Nothobranchius furzeri: one gene and its partners. The protein of the gene in region 1 binds, or shares a complex with, the protein of each later gene. Links are inferred from orthologs where the notes say so. Each region holds a gene or a part of one and is shown on either strand. Other genes may lie near its edges.

Evidence for each region. The genes of interacting proteins can lie anywhere in the genome.
Region 2: snrnp40 (region 1) and snw1 share a complex: the UniProt entries of both Homo sapiens proteins name them as parts of the minor spliceosome. The link is inferred for Nothobranchius furzeri from reciprocal best matches to the Homo sapiens genes SNRNP40 and SNW1.
Region 3: snrnp40 (region 1) and bcas2 share a complex: the UniProt entries of both Homo sapiens proteins name them as parts of the postcatalytic spliceosome P complex. The link is inferred for Nothobranchius furzeri from reciprocal best matches to the Homo sapiens genes SNRNP40 and BCAS2.
Region 4: snrnp40 (region 1) and armc7 share a complex: the UniProt entries of both Homo sapiens proteins name them as parts of the minor spliceosome. The link is inferred for Nothobranchius furzeri from reciprocal best matches to the Homo sapiens genes SNRNP40 and ARMC7.

Annotation. Positions count from the first base shown.
Region 1 is NC_091759.1:20,973,024-20,977,267, reverse strand, and holds the start of snrnp40 (U5 small nuclear ribonucleoprotein 40 kDa protein), read right to left. Parts: upstream 2,801-4,244; 5' UTR 2,668-2,800; coding exon 2,557-2,667; intron 1,933-2,556; coding exon 1,803-1,932; intron 1,730-1,802; coding exon 1,636-1,729; intron 1,544-1,635; coding exon 1,378-1,543; intron 1,267-1,377; coding exon 1,144-1,266; intron 824-1,143; coding exon 703-823; intron 630-702; coding exon 547-629; intron 402-546; coding exon 340-401; intron 246-339; coding exon 142-245; intron 68-141; coding exon 18-67; 3' UTR 1-17. Other genes in the region: zcchc17 (zinc finger CCHC domain-containing protein 17), read left to right, coding at 3,736-3,874. UniProt on the Homo sapiens protein: Required for pre-mRNA splicing as component of the activated spliceosome. Component of the U5 small nuclear ribonucleoprotein (snRNP) complex and the U4/U6-U5 tri-snRNP complex, building blocks of the spliceosome.
Region 2 is NC_091742.1:20,646,544-20,650,539, reverse strand, and holds the start of snw1 (SNW domain-containing protein 1), read right to left. Parts: upstream 2,801-3,996; 5' UTR 2,698-2,800; coding exon 2,651-2,697; intron 1,063-2,650; coding exon 909-1,062; intron 800-908; coding exon 638-799; intron 1-637. UniProt on the Homo sapiens protein: Involved in pre-mRNA splicing as component of the spliceosome. As a component of the minor spliceosome, involved in the splicing of U12-type introns in pre-mRNAs.
Region 3 is NC_091755.1:51,937,692-51,941,833, reverse strand, and holds bcas2 (pre-mRNA-splicing factor SPF27), read right to left. Parts: upstream 2,801-4,142; 5' UTR 2,690-2,800; coding exon 2,597-2,689; intron 1,815-2,596; coding exon 1,722-1,814; intron 1,634-1,721; coding exon 1,563-1,633; intron 1,447-1,562; coding exon 1,285-1,446; intron 1,197-1,284; coding exon 1,146-1,196; intron 1,058-1,145; coding exon 977-1,057; intron 890-976; coding exon 763-889; 3' UTR 254-762; downstream 1-253. UniProt on the Homo sapiens protein: Required for pre-mRNA splicing as component of the activated spliceosome. Component of the PRP19-CDC5L complex that forms an integral part of the spliceosome and is required for activating pre-mRNA splicing.
Region 4 is NC_091756.1:50,515,091-50,519,237, forward strand, and holds the start of armc7 (armadillo repeat-containing protein 7), read left to right. Parts: upstream 1-1,347; 5' UTR 1,348-1,380; coding exon 1,381-1,440; intron 1,441-1,514; coding exon 1,515-1,602; intron 1,603-3,599; coding exon 3,600-3,743; intron 3,744-3,822; coding exon 3,823-4,147. UniProt on the Homo sapiens protein: As a component of the minor spliceosome, involved in the splicing of U12-type introns in pre-mRNAs.

The sequences.
Region 1 (4,244 bases):
ACACACACACACACACCTTATTGGATTTCACCCATGTACAGACGTTTATCACTGGAGCCAGACAGCACTGCAAAGACACAGAAAAGAATAAATGAGTGACTTTTTCTTGTGTTTGGTTCCGGTTCCTGTTCTGTCGCTCACCTATGGGCTCCTCTGGGTGAAACACCACCTCGTTAACAGAACCGGCGTGGCCCGGCAGCTTGTAGAGGATCCTGCGAGACGTGGTGTCCCAGATGTACACAAATCTGTAGCAGACGCACAGAGCGGGGAACAAAAGTGGCTCTCAGTGCCTTATCTTTACTCCGTTTGGGTTTAAAAAGTCACCAAAGCGTTTCTCACCGATCGGCTGATCCTGCGGCTACTTTACTGCCATCAGTGGACCAGGAGCACCTCAGCAAGTTCTGAATAAACAGGAAAAGAGGACATGAGAAGAACACAGACCCGGAGCTTTCACAGCTAAAAAGCGGTTTTCTTTAGTCCAGATATGTACGACTTCTCAGATTGACCTAGAAGTGAATTGTTCATTTGTCTGCTAGTGAAGATTACCTTTTCAAAGTTGTGAACATTACCCTGGAAAATCTTCACGCACCTCTCCTTGGGTGCAAACGGCCGCACGTCCCAAATTCGCACTGCAAAGACACGCGAGACTCTTTGAGGGATGCGATTCAAGCACAGATGAGCAGGATCAGAAGCCGAGCATACCAGTGTTGTCCATGGAGTTCGACAGAAGGTATGACCCCTCGGAGCTCAGGCTGAGCCCGGTTACAGAGTCCCCGTGTCCATGCATGTTGTAGATCAGCTTGTTCTGTCGCAGATCCCACACCTGAGCAACACAAAGCTTTCAGATCAACGACCAGGAGAGAATTTTAGGCTGGAGCCGATTTGTTGCCTTCGACATTTCACATTTTTGCAACAATCAACAAAAAATAAACTTGCGTTTGGAGTTGAAGCAAACAAAAATGTAAACAACCAAGGGCTGACAATAAATCTCACTGAACATCTTCAGTCAATCAACTTTAAAATGGCTGAAACAGAGCATCACTGCAACCATCTGCTGTTGTTAAAGGGATTAAAATGTTTAGTCTGACTTTCTTCAAGATAAACAGTTTAATGAGTCCCTTTAAGAAAAACTGTTTTTTTAACCTTGATGTCGTTGTCGATGCCTCCAGACAGGATCTGATCACTGGTGTCGTTAAACGTCACGGCCAGAACCTGGTAGGTGTTCTGAAAGGTGTGGATGGCTCCTTTTTTGCGGATGTCCCACAGCTAGAAAACAAAAAACATCAGGCTAAACAAAACGTGCAACAATGTAGGTGTGTGTGAACGGTGTGTGTTGGACCTCATTTTCACAGCAAAACACCCAGAAAACAGCCTGACCTTGATCGTCCCGTCGTCGCTTCCTGTACAGACCAGCTGAGGACCTCGGCGAGCTGGATAGCAGGTGTTAACAAAGGAGGTGTGTCCCTTCAGACGTTTGACCCTCTCACCTGTCTCGCTGTCCCACACGCCAACAGTCTTGTCCGTGCTGGCTGAAAACAACAAGCTGAACCACACAGACACCTCTGTATCACACTTCTGACTCAAGTTCCGCAATAATCCACCAGATATTAGTTGATCATATTCCACCGTCTCTACCTGCCATCTGTGTTATAATGCAGCTCCATCACCGCTCCGCTGTGACCCTTCAGGGTGGCGTAATTCTCACAGTCTCCATACACGTTCCACAACACTGCAGCATGGTAACAGAGATTTTAAAGCGGTTTTAACAAACATATGTCTGCTACTGTTTGACACAAACTTACATATGAGTCTGTCGAATCCTGAAGAGGCCAACACAGCTCCATTGGGGTGAAACTTGCAGCAGTAGACCTCCCCCTCATGGCCAGACATCAACATGATGGGAGCCTGCATGCTGGAGGTGCGTGGATGGCCCTATGGGGATCAGTGATTTAGGTTTGCAGCATTATGGTGCAGAAACAACAAGTGGTACTTTACTTTAAATGCATACGAGCTGGATGACTTGCTGAGATCTAGCAAAGAGAGTGAAGTAAATGCTCCCTTTAATCATGTAGGAGCTGGAAGTAGATCCTAATTGCACCAGTGGCAATTACAATCTGGTGTTTCCTTAAGCTTGCATTATGATAAAAGGTGATATCTGTGTATATATATTTTACCTTTGATGCACAAGTGAACTCTGATCATCTTGACAGTTTATTTATTTATTATATATGCTTTGTTATTTGAATCAAATATTAAAAAGGAAGGCTGTTTTAATAATAAATATTGTTACCAATAAAATACATAATTACAATAACCAACACGCTCTTGAAAATAGTTTTTTTGCATATTGAATTCTATTGTCAACTATTCTGATGTTTACATTAATCATGAAAACGTGACTAAATCTGCTTACATGGTCCGGTTAATGAATACATAAGTCCCCGGCTAGCATAGCTTGCCCTTTTCTCAAACTTAAAAACATAACTACTATAAAGGTGGTAAGTATGATTTAATCTTGAATGTAAACGCAGTCGGATGTCACCAGGGCTACGTTACCGTGGCCACGAGCTGCTGAGACTGAGCCGCCGCTACTAGCTCCATCCGTGGCCGCTTCAGCGCAGTGGGAACCATCGCCATGTCTCCGGGTCTCTTTAGAGGTTCAATCATTGCGGGGAAAGTTAACAAAAAGCGGCTAAATAGAGTAAATGCAAAGCTAAAACTTAGTAAAATTAACGGACGTCTTCGACGAAAGACGTCTGAGGAAACAAAACCACCAAAGAAGACAGACACTGAAGTACTTCCGGGTTCAAAGCTCGTGATTGGTGGAAATTTGCGCAGGCTGCAGTGATTGGCTGATTTTCTTCCTGGCGTCAATTTGACCTGGAAGTATAACTAGCACAGTTTAGTCGGTGGAAAAGGTATTGCAATTATTTTTATTTCTTAAGAGTTAGAGTCACATTACGCAAAATATATTAATTATAGCACAATTGTCTGGTTTACTAATGTATCATAGAGCAGTTTAACAGGAATAGGTTAGAGGGTTTTATGTAAACACCAATGCTCGTGTTGCGTTTATCCTGTTCATGTTTCCAGAGATATTGTCTCCTATAGTTTTTACTCCGCTCGAATTAATGTAATGGAAAGTGAAGTTTGAGGTAAGATAAATCCATGTTTTGAAAATTAAAACTGATTTACAATATTAATAATTCTATTTGTTCGTTTTTGAGATTAGCCTAGTTTCTTTAAATCTGACAGCTGCAATTTTTGTCTGTGTTCTTTGTTTTTATTTATTTTTTTGTGTTTGGTTCTCAGTCTGTTTCACATGTATGGAGTGTTAGAAAATATGCAGTTACCGTTTAAATAAAATTTAGACCATGGCTGGTCTTTTTAGTCTAGTTTTAATATTATTAAACTGGGTTATTTGAGCTTAATTCTTAATGAAAACGAAGAAAAAACATTTTAATTGAAGGATAACTTCAACTGAACTTGATTTATTGCCTACTCCTGACTTGTGAAAACATAATAGTTGTCGTAGAAAGTAGTTTTATGGATTTTTATTTAATAATTTTTATTCACAATATAAATACTTAAATTTATTCTGTTACTTTGTAAAAGGAACAATATTGCTTTTATTTTGGGTTTCTTTAACTTTTCCTCGTCTTTCGTCTTTTATCTGTGTTGTGTTATTGAATTGAAATATATTTAATCCTCCAACTGTTTGCCCAGATTGAGACGATGTCCAACCGTGACCGCTCGAGTCGAGAACCAGCCGGGCTGGATGGTCTGCCTCCGATGTACAGCATCGCCAAGGGAGAGGTGGTTTCAGTGCAAACATATGGAGCTTTTGTTCGACTGCCTGGTTACAGGAAGGAAGGTTGGTAGAAGGCTGAGAGCTTGTAATCTTTAAAAATGAAATACCAGTATTAGTAATATTAACCAGCTGAGTGAAGTGAGTCCTTTAAAGCAGTAATGGATCTGTAAAAAGAAAAATAGGAGATATTAGATGACTACAGCTAACTTTATATTTTTTATTTAAAAAAAACGTTTTCATTTAATACCATATATTATAATTTTAGTAGCAGATGCAGCACTGGGAAGCATCAACGGCTAAAATAGGAAGAAGTTTGTCCCAAACTTTTTATACTTCATTATCTCTGATGATAAATTCTAATTTTAGTGGTTGCCCTAAAATATTTTGCCACTAGATGGAAAAAAGATAAAAGGTTTGGGTTCTAATTTGAGTA
Region 2 (3,996 bases), on another chromosome or scaffold:
ATTTCTTCATCAGATGGTGAATATTTCTCTCCAGAATCGGAGTCAGCCATTATCAGACAAAGAGCTTTGTCAACAATGAGCAGACCTGTCAGCATCGCAAGTCTCTCCACTCTAACATAAAATAATAGATCTAATAGATTTGACCTCTGTGAGCTCCGCTCCTCACCTCCGTACGAAGGGCAGTGTTTAAACTCTATAAACTCTGAAAACATCAGTAGAAACACCCAAAAGTGTTGCTCAGATTACAGTTACACATCTCCACTATCTGCCGGTGTAAAGTAATAACTTCACCAGGAATTACATTTGCAGCCGTGGTTCATTAAATGCAATATTACATAATGCACAGTCCTTCCCATGCTATGGTTCTAAATATTGACATCATTTATTTCAGTGTTGTGGTTTTTGGCCTTGGTTTCAGCCAAGAATTTTCCTTTCAGTGCATCTCTACTGTTTGGCTTCAAAAATGACAATTTTCACCCTAAAGCAACAAGATTGCAGGTATGTAATAAAAACTTCTAATAAGACATAAGCCAACTTAATTGTGAAAAGTTTAATCATTATCAGGTTTATGGGATTTGTCTGAATCCACTTAACTACAAATAAACACATCAAAAAAGGCAATGATAACCAAACATACCTTGTCCTTTCCCTGTCCTTGTCTGGCGATGGCATCATATTTGATTTTTCCTTCAGCATCCACTTGCACAGCCAGGGCATTGGACGTTCTCTTCCCCCTGCCCATCTCCAGAGGAAACTGAGCCACATGGATTTCTGGGAATGCCCCCCCATCTCCAAAGTCCTGGAAAAATAGATACACCCAACTTTAAAACCACACCAAGATTTTTTTTAGTGTGGCTATGAAGCCAAAAGCTCTGTTCCATTTCTAAAGCCTTAATGGTGGGAACTACCTCCAATGCGCGGGGTACCCAGCCTTTCCTGTGTCCATAAGGAGGGGGCTCTCTACGGGACGCAACCAGAGCGGTGGAGTAAGCCTTTTGGGCGCATAGCCTCTCCTCTGCCTCCAGCTGGTCCTGAGACAGCTGTGTTGGCGCTGGTAAAAAGCTTCATGAACAAAGAAGAACAAATTAAAAAGTGTTAAGTGAACTAGTATTAGCCACTAATGACAATAAATATAAACACAAAGGGGAATAATTGAGCTATTTGGACACAGGAGCCGATTTGGTCATGTTTATGCTTTACCAGAAGTTAACACTGACACATTTGATGTACTGTAATCTTATTGTGATACTGAGAGACTACATACTAGTAATGCCAATAATAACAATTTGGACTTTCGACAGGGCCACTCCAAACATCGTTCTATCCTTTGTCTGATTGCTGGTGATGCTTGATGCCACTGCCACCATGCAAGGGGAATATTTATAAATCATCTTTATTATGCTGTATATTTTTATTAATTGCTTTTACTTTAAAGAAGCAAGTTTCTTCCTTGTTGTCAAAATGTGTTTTTAATTTGACAATTCATGTCAGACAAGTCAAATAATACTGAATGTGAATTAGCTTCAGCAATAAACATGTGAAATATCAAAGACTGAGTAAATATTTATAACAGGATGAACGGAGAAGTATTTGACGCCGACAACAGCAGCACGCTCTGAGGAAGGAGACAGCATTAGCCGAAACTTCAGCAAAAACAGGGTATAACAACTCTTGCCGTGTTTGAAAAAGAACCAAGTAAAGTTGTTAGGAAGAAGAGAAAAACAGAATAAACATACATAAGATATTTATAACAGGACTGATCTAAGCACTATGACAGAATCCCAGAAGGGTATTGGTGATTGGGCACATCATGCAATCATGTATTATGCGATTTTCTAAAATAAAATAATAATAAAAAATCCCATTCTAGCACTTTCAACAAGAATTCATAGCATTTTGTTGCACCTTACAGATAATTATCATGAATATCTTTTTTCCCCACTTATCTCAAAGTAATTGTTACTAGCCTGCAACAAATGTCACATGCAGTTTAAAGCAATTCAAGTGCTTAAATAAAGTGTGTGCACATTTTAGCACATGAGAATAGCTCTCCCGTGAAGAGTTCTCCCAGGAAGCATGAAGAAGTCAGTATTTTAGAAGTGAATCGCCTTATTTTTCCTTTGCACAGTCAGAACATTCTTTCAATCTCATTCATTAACCAGGATGCGTTTCCCCGGCTGAAAAGACCAAAGACGAAATTTAAATTCTGCACAGTTTGATTTCAGCCTTTTAATTTATTTTATTTTATCGTTTTACACAACAGATGCAAGCAGGAAGGGGGAAGAACACGGGGAAACATCAATGCTCGTCTAGCCCAGGGCTTCAATATAAATAGTAGTATCATGAATTTAAATGACTGAATATTACAATTTGGTCAAATGAAAGCCATAATTAAGATGAAATTGACCGAAAAACTAACTTGCTCAGCGACAACGACTGCGTGTTGCAAGATGGCTAATGCTACATGTTTAGCCGACGAGCTAAACGATAGCCTCGGCTACTGCCGCTAGCTTCGATTAAACCAATTAAAATTAAATCGTGAACTTCGGCGATAAAGCCTGAATATGTAATTTTCCTAAACGTTATTATGAGTCCCAGTCAATAGCTCTTTAAATAGCATAAACAGACAAGGCCTTGTCAACGAACTTACCTAGTAAGCGACATGTTTAAGTTTTTCTTTTTGGATAAACTGAGCATGCGCACAGCGGCATTACATCACTTCCTGATCGTGCGACTGCTCCTTACGTAGACCATAGAAATGAATACGTAGACGCCCCATTGTGCGATGGAGAGCTTTGCCGCCATATTGGATGGGTCTCCTCACTCTCCGAGGTCAATGCCGAGTGGGCCGGTGTCAGTACAGGATCTGCTCGGGTGCAAGATCGGCTCGGGGTCCGTCGACTGCCGATGACGTCTAAGTAGTTGATTGGCTGAACATGAACCTTACGGAAATACGCAATCACGTTACGTTGTTATCACGTTACGTTGGTCCAGGCAAATCTTTCCATTGGAAAGATGGACAACTTTTACAAAGAAATCCATCATTACCTCTTTGAAAATACACTTTTAGCATAGAGCTGCATGTATATTAGGGCTGAACGATTAACTGCATGTGCAATTAAATTGCGATGTGACAAAAGGAGATTTTCTAATCTCAAAGGCTTCAATTTGGCAGCGAGTGGTTAGCGTAATGCTAATATACATGGAAAAACCCATAGGAATGCTAATGCTAATATCGCCGATTACATTATTACAAATTATGAATTAGAAACGTGCCAAATGATTACATTTGGAGTCTTAAAGAAAGTAAAAATACCATCAATCAAATAAGTACAGACAGGTATTTTAGTAAAGCCAGGAGATTTTCTAATCTCAAAGGCTGCAATTTGGCAGCGAGTGGTTAGCGCAATGCTAATATACATGGAAAAACCCATAGGAATGCTAATGCTAATATCGCCGATTACATTATTGCAAATTATGAATTACAAACGTGCCAAATGATTACATTTGGAGTCTAATAGAAAGTAAAAATACCATCAATCAAATAAGTACAGACAGGTTTTTTAGTAAAGCCAGAAAACTTTTAACTCCAGAGTTTTGGCTAGCAGCTACAGTCTATGACAAGACGTCAACAACTCTAAACACAAAATACTTAAATAAACGGGACACACTTCTTTCCTGCAAATACAATTTTACAGGTGTTGCTAATACCTATGATTCTTCAAGCCAAGGGATGTGCTCAAAGAGGAGTTCAACATTATGAATAAGATATATAAGAAATAGTGTTTTATTTTACAAATACCATTATAAACACAAACTTATGTCTTAAGAAACATTATTTTAATAACGAAAGTGCTAAATTCTTTCCAACAGTATAGATGTGTAGTGCATTTTGTCCGAGTCGGTTTGCCGTACTTTGACGTCATCGGGAGTCGAAGGACCCCGAGCCGATCTTGCACCCGAGCAGATACTGTACCGACACCGGTGTCGGTACAT
Region 3 (4,142 bases), on another chromosome or scaffold:
AATTTATTAAAAGTAACTACTTACAAAAGTTACAATATTCAGTGTCTACTTAAAATGATCAGAGGGGTTGTCCTGGACTTTTTACATCACTAATGAGTAAACAAAGGAACAAATATTCCCTATTGCCCTCATCTCCAAACGAGGGCAAAGATAACTGATCATGTCTGTTCTCTGGTCAAACTGAGAAACCCAGTTGAGCTTAAAAATATCAAATAAACGTGTTACAAAAAACAAAGACAGATGACAATGGAAGTTATTATAAAAGCTCATTTTGTTACAAACAGCATTTTAGAAAATAATAAATGTAAGTTAATGTGGAGTCCTTTCATTTTGGCTTCAAATCTGACAAATTATTTACAATTCTAAAAACTTTGTTGAAAGGCAACTTAAAAAACAGCTAGATTTATGAGGCTTATGTGTAGTAACTATTGGAACTACTGCCAGGGTATCAGTAGCACAAACATAAAACTTAGGACTGAAAACTCAGCTGTGTCTGAAATGACAAAATTGCAAAACAAAACAAACACTAAAGCGCTGCAAACAGAAAATAAAACTATTACAGGTGTGTTTGCGTTTTCAGCCTGAAATAAGATGAGATCGGAATCTACAGTTTTGCTTAGAGCAAACACGATTCTGATAAAAGTTCATTTTAAACATTCCAACAATGTTTTTAGTGGAAAATCCTAAACATGTGGTTGATTTAAAGATCTGTAGAAAATGTGTCTGATTGAGGGAACGTTAGTTTTGAGTTTGCGTGATTCTTCAGAAGTCCTGACAGATGTTCTCCTTGTTCTCGTCTCCCTGCTGTTGCCGGAGCTGACCTACTTCATTCTCCAGCTGGACTATGGCTCTCTCGATCTCGTAGTTTTTACTGACCAGAGACACCCAACTGTCAAACAAAAACACAGATGTTAAGACATCTGGAAACAACGTGTTCTCTCCACACAGTGACATGGAAGTTGTTCAGAAGACACACTTAGACTCCAGCTCGCGTAGTTTGGCCCCCGCTGCCAGCTGATCATTCTTACGCTGCCAGTTCAAATCTTGAATTTGCTTCCTGTCAACCAAAGTAATTGTTAAGCTTCTAAATATGAATTCTCAAAGCCCTTTAAATTAGCAAACAATGTCCAGGCATCGCAATTCACCTGAATTTGTGGAGTTCCTTTTGAGCCATCTCAATCAGAAAAGCCAGATTACTGTGGAAGGAGAACAAAAAAAATAATTAACAGTCTTCAAATAAAACAATGGTACTATTTCTGAAAAATAAAAGCTGCCATAACTCACTCATTGTAGACTTTCCATGCATTTGTTCCATACTGTGACATGAGCTCCAGGTTCTCAATGCGAACTGCTTGGTGCTCCAGCTGGGCCATGGAGTTGTTCACACACTCTTGCCACGCTGTAATGTCATTCTTCTGTCCTGAAGTTGGAGCTGGCAGCTCGTATCTTCACAGGCAGGAAGATATTAGAACATAATGTCCATATTTATTAAAATACTGAGCAAATGATTTGCAAAGCAAACATATATCTTGCAAGGCAACTACCACCAGAGCAGTTTTTACCTTTTCATGCTCAAAAGATCCATAGGCGAACGTGCCGCTAACCGCTCAAATTCGTTTCTCATAATTTCTGTCTGGAAGGGTGAAAACAAAGTGCAGTAAGTTCTGTGTCAAAGTCTGAAAGTCCATAAGAAGACCTCACATTTCTAATTAGATTCTTACCTCAAAAGCAGAGAAGTCAGGTGTAGGTAGGTAGCTCAGGTAGTTCTTCGTAGGTCTGTACCTTCTTGTCTCCTCCTCAACCAATGCAGCTGCCTAAGGGATCAAACAGGGTTTATGTTTGGTTCTGCAGCTTTAAAACCAACTTTCTCATTACTATTCTACGGCAATGCCCTGTCAAGCTTAATTCGCTATTTTGTAATAACAAAGGATGACAAATATTAAATACATAAATAAACTAATATATGAAGACTAAATCTGATTTTAGGTTTACAAGGAGCAAGAAGTACAAAAAGAAGTTATAAAACATCCACATAAAAGCTCCAAAGATGCCTAAAATGGTACTTGTCTATGACGTTGTTTACATCCTTATTTACTAAACGCAAATACAGATAACCATTTGATCACTGTTCACAAGGTTTAATGTGGCATTATCAACTATACAATTCAACAAGTTCACAGTTTGAATCTGAAAGATTCTAGGTGTTAAAATCTCAAATTATGCATCTTTTCCCGTGCCAAACTCAAAGGATAATTAGTCACATTAGAACCCAAATAAACCAAATTTAAAGAAAGGAAACATGTCATAAAATGTCTCTGCGACCTATTATGCAAATATATAAAATTTATATTCGTTTCATGTTGTTTTAACAAAATTCGTGCATTTGTTGAGATTCTTTGGTTTCTTCGTCTAGCAGTCTATTACGCACTAATAAACACTAACCAGCTATATATAAAAATAAACGCGTTAGTTTGGTCTATACAAGTAATATTAATTTAACAGTTAAAAGGCCATCGACTTTAAGGATTAATGAAAGTTTCCATGTAGCGTGTTGGCTAACACGCTTCTGATAGCAAACATTTTTTATTTCACTCACCGCCTCTCTGACACCTGGCGCATCATAACCTTGGTCGAAATACGGCAAAGCATCAACAAACACTTCACCCGCTACTGAAGCTGTCCCGGCCATTTTAATGAGTCTATTTACTGATTAATTTGTTGATTTATTTCTTCCTCGGCGGCTAGTAGCTAACTGAACCCAAGTTCTTTTTCCGGTGAAGAGTTTCAAAATAAAATGTCCTACATTTTTTTCCGTGCTCATACATAATGCTTACGGTTCCGTGTTCGATAGGAATGTGACGAAGGCAGTGCGTGATGAAGATGCACATCGAAGATGCGCATAAAAATACAGTTGAACTCCAACTGTGACCTGTTTTCCCTCTACCCTAATTTTTAGTAAATTTTCCTTGAAACCTTATGTACAAGACCCCATATAAAACTGTGCAAACGTTTTAAACCACCCATAATTTCTTCAAAACACGATTCCAAGACGCAACATTTCCTTGTAATATTTTAATATAGACTTAGTTTTAGAGGCTCCAAGAAGGTTCTTTTAAATGCGCGCGCGCGCGCGTGTGTTTAACGAGCATTAACGTAATTTCCCATTTTCTGTTTTGTCACCTGACTATGACAGCATTGGACCATTTTTTTAATGTAGAAAAGTGGATTGGTAGAAGACACAATTGAAGAATTTGGATCACTGACCCTGCCACCACCACAAGCCATATGTGTGCTCCATTTTTTAAATCAAAATCACATTGGCACCAGATAATATCTCATCCACACCAGATAGTTTCTCAGAAATTATCTGATGCAGACTGATACTATCTGGAGTACATGAGATCTGATGCTCATATGAATCTCTAGCCTGGACAGCCATGCCAATGTGTAGAATAGAAAGGGGGTAAGTCTGGCTGGTGTGCACAAAATACCAGCCTTTTTACCCACTTCAAATGCAAGAAATACATTCCAACAAAAATCAGAGATTTTTAAAAAAAGTATTCAATTGATTGATTGACTGAAAACTTGAGAAACCCATCCTCTTTCATTTGATCATCTCCACAGGTTATCTGAACGATGTTTTTTTTTTTAATTTTTTGGGGGGGATGATTTAATTAATTAAATAAAACATTTGGTTAGTATTCTTTAAAAGAAATATCAGTAACCCTATGATGAAACCTAAAATTAACTACTTTTGGGCTTTTAAGAGGAGATCCTTTCAGTATAGATGAGCTCTCGAACACTCACAAATTGATAAGTTGGCCATGAGTTAAAGCTGCTTTAGTGAATCTACAGTACAAGCTAGGTTTAGAGCGCAAACACCATCACAAAACACGCACCCTCTTCCCTTGTTTACCTTCCCCGAGATACTTCTACTGGAAATGGACACCTGCGTTGCCAGAGTAATTAAACCGTCAGTCACCATAAGTCTAGACATCTTTTGTTGTCAGCAACTTCAAATGGCATTTTTCTTTTTGAGACTTTCATATTTTGTTCTAAAGTTGAAGTGGTAGCAGCCAGCTGTTCCTCCTCTGATATTATTGAGCTGAGCACCTCTCCCACCAGTGTTCTGTTGCAAAATA
Region 4 (4,147 bases), on another chromosome or scaffold:
AATAAAAGATGTGATTGAAGTCTTTATTGAATTTTATTTGTTTGTAATGGGAGTTTAAACTTTAGCATATTAATTTGAGCTGAACTGAGATTAAAACTTCAAAATCTTCTCTAACCTCTCCATTATGAAGTTAAAATTTATATCTCAGACTTGATACACCTTAATGACAAAATACAAGTCCTGATACTTTGGTTTTAATTCAACCCTGATAAAAAAAAAAATCGTTTATCCAGTAATATTTTTCTCCCACTGTTTCTGTTTGGCTTAGGGGTTTAGTCTGTTTTTCCCAGATAGTAAGTACATTTTATTTATATAACACCCATCACAGACAGTAATCACAAAGATAAAAAAAACAAGACAAATTAAAGATGATTCGAGTTAAAAATAAGGCTATTTATGTAGATGGTGGTTAATTCTGCTCCCGCTTGACCAACACGAGTGTCAAAATTTAAAAGCGTGGTTCCTGCTCAGCTGAACTTCCATCCAGTCTTATAATTTACTGATTTACTGGATGACTGTAATGTCTGATGGCCTGTAAAGCATCAGTCGTCTGCAAAAAGTTCATATGTTCAGTCACTTCCTGTCTGTTGCTGCTTCTTCTTCTCCACCAGCTCTTTCTGTTTCTCCCTCCTCTCCAGGACTTCCATCATCCTGGCATAGTTGCGTTCTCGCTCCTGGGCCTTGAGCTCAACCACGTCTTCAAGGAACCTGTGTCTGCATAAACGACAAGCAAATATGTTTACGATTTGCTGCTAACTCATAGTATTTAATATTTTTGCTTCAGTCTCCAATGACAGTTTCACCGTCACACCGGTGTTACAGTGAAATGTGTTGTGCGTGTGTTTCTTTTACGCAGTTAGCAAAGCTCAGTTTCACCTGTTAATGAAAATAGTGGCGAGTCCAACCAGCAGAGTTCCGAACAAAATGGGTTTGGCGAGGCGCTTTCTCGCGGACAGCCGGTGGTGATTCATTGTTGCTGTTTTACTTAAATAAACAAAGCGACATAGCGTTTTTGTTAAGCTGACCTCCCGCAACGTGCGTTATGTGCTGTTGTACGAGCACATAAACACAAACACACCTTCTGCTCCTTAACTTCCGCTCAGCTGCCGGTGTTGTATCAATCTCTGTACACCATTTAAAATGTGTTTCCTCATCGGCTCGCGTAGCTCTCGCGTATTTCATTGCACAATTGTGACAGCAATGCTAGCATTTATAACGTTATAGGCGAGTTTATAGCAACGATGTTACGATTTCGTGTAGCTAAAAATGCGTTACTCTTTAAATCATGCGAAAGTGAACGGGGAACACATCTTCACGGACAAACAAGTTTTGATAAAACAGCGGAACAAATATCTACTTGCGCAGTTTTTCCGAACACTTATGAGCCGCGGACCCATACGTGAAATGAAAACAACCTCTGAATCAGCTATGAACGGTCAAGTAACTTAAACATCAGCATAATCTGATATCTGTGTGAATTTTATTTGAAGTGTTAAATGTGTTTTTGCTAAAAGATGAAGAGAAATGAGTCAGCTGAAGCGCCTGAACGGTTTGAATATTTACAGACGCTGGTTACTGAATTTCAGGACACTGACAGTGAAGGTAGGAATAACCTTTGATCTGTGTTCTACAAAGTTAAAATAAAAACCGTTTTAAAACGAACACGTAGACTCTCAACACCCTCAGTTTAGATGCATGCTATTATTTATTAGTGATGGGAATGGCTCAGCTCACCAGAAAGAGCCGGCTCTTTCGGCTCCCAAATGGCTCCTCAGATTTTCTGTTTCGTAGAGTACATTTATAACCAAAATAATGCAAAACTATATGTAAAATTATTTACTAATGTAAAAAAAAATGCAATATATCAAATATTTATAATTTCTATGGATTTAATAACTGAACACTTTAAGAAATTGTCACTTTCCGACTGCTGGCGCTCATTTTCTCACCGTCTTCATCACACTCTCCTCTCTATCTCGCTCACCTTTTTCCTCCTCATTCCCTCTCGTCTACCTCCACCTGCATGTGCTCTGCTGTGTGTCTGAGTCTGATTCTCCCTCTTCCCCGTCCCTACTGCTCTGTGTGTGGACAGTCTGGTCACACAGTTACACATGTTGACCAATCGCCTGTAGCGTTCACCAAAGCAAGAGGGGAGGGGGGAGGGGAGGGGACGGCTCCCAATGATGAGCCGGCTCCCGTTGTTCACTTCAAAGAGCCGACTCTTAGAGCCGGTTCGTTCGGACTGACACATCACTATTATTTATATCGTTAGAGGGCTTTTTCAGAAGCCGTTGTTCAGTCGAAAACTGTACTCTCCATCAGTATATTTATTTGAAGTGAGAGAAAAAAAATCGTCAAAAGAACATTTGTATATATGTTAGACCAGTTTTTATCCATTGCAATAGGAGAAAGGCTGACTATCAGCATTAGAATTGTGTTCAGAAGACAAAAAGATCACAAATACATGCAAATGACTTCATGAAGTTAAAATTTTTCGAAAAAGAATCTGTAAACATGACTAAATCAGGTAGAAGTGAACAAATACATCAAATAAGCTGTAATTCTAAGCAGCGTTTTAAGTTTTATTCTGAAAGTGTATCGTTGTGACATGAAATAAATGTAAGCTTAGTATTTGGAAACCAAAAAGTGACGTTATTTAACCAAATTCTGATTGTTCATTCTACATGTTAGTTCACTTTGAGATTACTGCCATAAGTAAACATTTTCTGTTGGATTTTACCGCAGAAAGCTGCTTGTTTTTATTTTTAAAAAAACGGTGTTAAAAATAAGTAGCCAGATAATGTGATGAATTAAATAATGCGCTAGTTCCACATCCATCCATCCAGTTGTAAATATCTACACTGGCTGCCATTAAACTATAGAAACGATTACTAAGTGCTACTGCTAGTTTATAAATGAGGCCAAAATACATGTTGGATCTCCTTCCTGTATATATACACCCAGCAGGGCTCTGAGATCCTTAGGAAACAGTCAGCTGGTAGAACCTCGGGTCAGAACCAAACAGGGTGAAGCTGCTTTTAGCTACTATGCTGCTCACAGATGGAATCAGCTTCTTTATGACCTGAAATGTGCCCCAACTCTAGTAACTTTTAAGTCAAAATGGAAGACTTTCATGCATTCATCAGCCTTTGAAGGATTATTTCTCATGCTGTACCTTCTGCGCTCAGTCTTTAACTTTGTCTTTTATTTTATTTCTTACATTTAATTTTATTAGAGTATTTAAAATTTGAATTTAAAAGCTGCTGTTTTACGTCGTCACGTTGATTTTAATCTTTTATGATCATGCTGGTCATGCACCTGGAAAGTACATTGAATAGCTTCAGTGTATGAAATGTGCTACACAAATAAAGCTGCCTCGCCTTTCTAGTTTACAGACAAATCTTATTTTTATACTGTCAGCTCCACATTTGAGCCTGAAGGGTGTTTTGATGTGAAAGTAAAAAGCGCCCCCTGTGGTATAAATGTGTACTGTTTCTGTGCTGCAGCCTCTGTTTATCATTGTTTGTAATGAGCTGGTGTAAGGTGAATTAGTGGATGTAGGTATCTCTGTTTGTTTCATTACTTTTTCTCTTTATCAGAGGCAAAGGAGCAGGTTCTGGCAAATCTAGCCAACTTTGCATATGACCCAAAGAACATGGAGTACCTGAGGGAGCTGCAGGTTCCTGACCTGTTCCTGGACATGTTGACCGAAGAGAATGAGAACTTTGTGGAGTTTGGGATGGGTGAGCATCTCTCCAACTAAAACAGTAAATCATGTTTGTTTATGTAAAAATCATCTAAACTCAAATATTGTGTTGACAGGGGGTCTGTGTAACCTCAGTATGGACCCTGGATGCAGAGACATCATCTTGGAGAACGATGGGATCAGCTTGATCACAAACCACCTGTCAAACCGGAGGGAGGAGACGGTGCTGTCTGCCGTCACCACCCTGATGAACCTCACCACACCAGCGACCTGCTCTCAGATCACAGAGCCAGGGATCGTTCAGTGCATGCTGCGCTTCTCACTCGCAGAGAGCCCCCGTCTGCGCAACCTGGCCTCGGTCTTCCTGCAGGACTGCTGCAGCCAGGAGCAGGTGAGACAGGCTGAGCTGCAGATGCAGGGGGTGCAGACGGCCATCGGGAT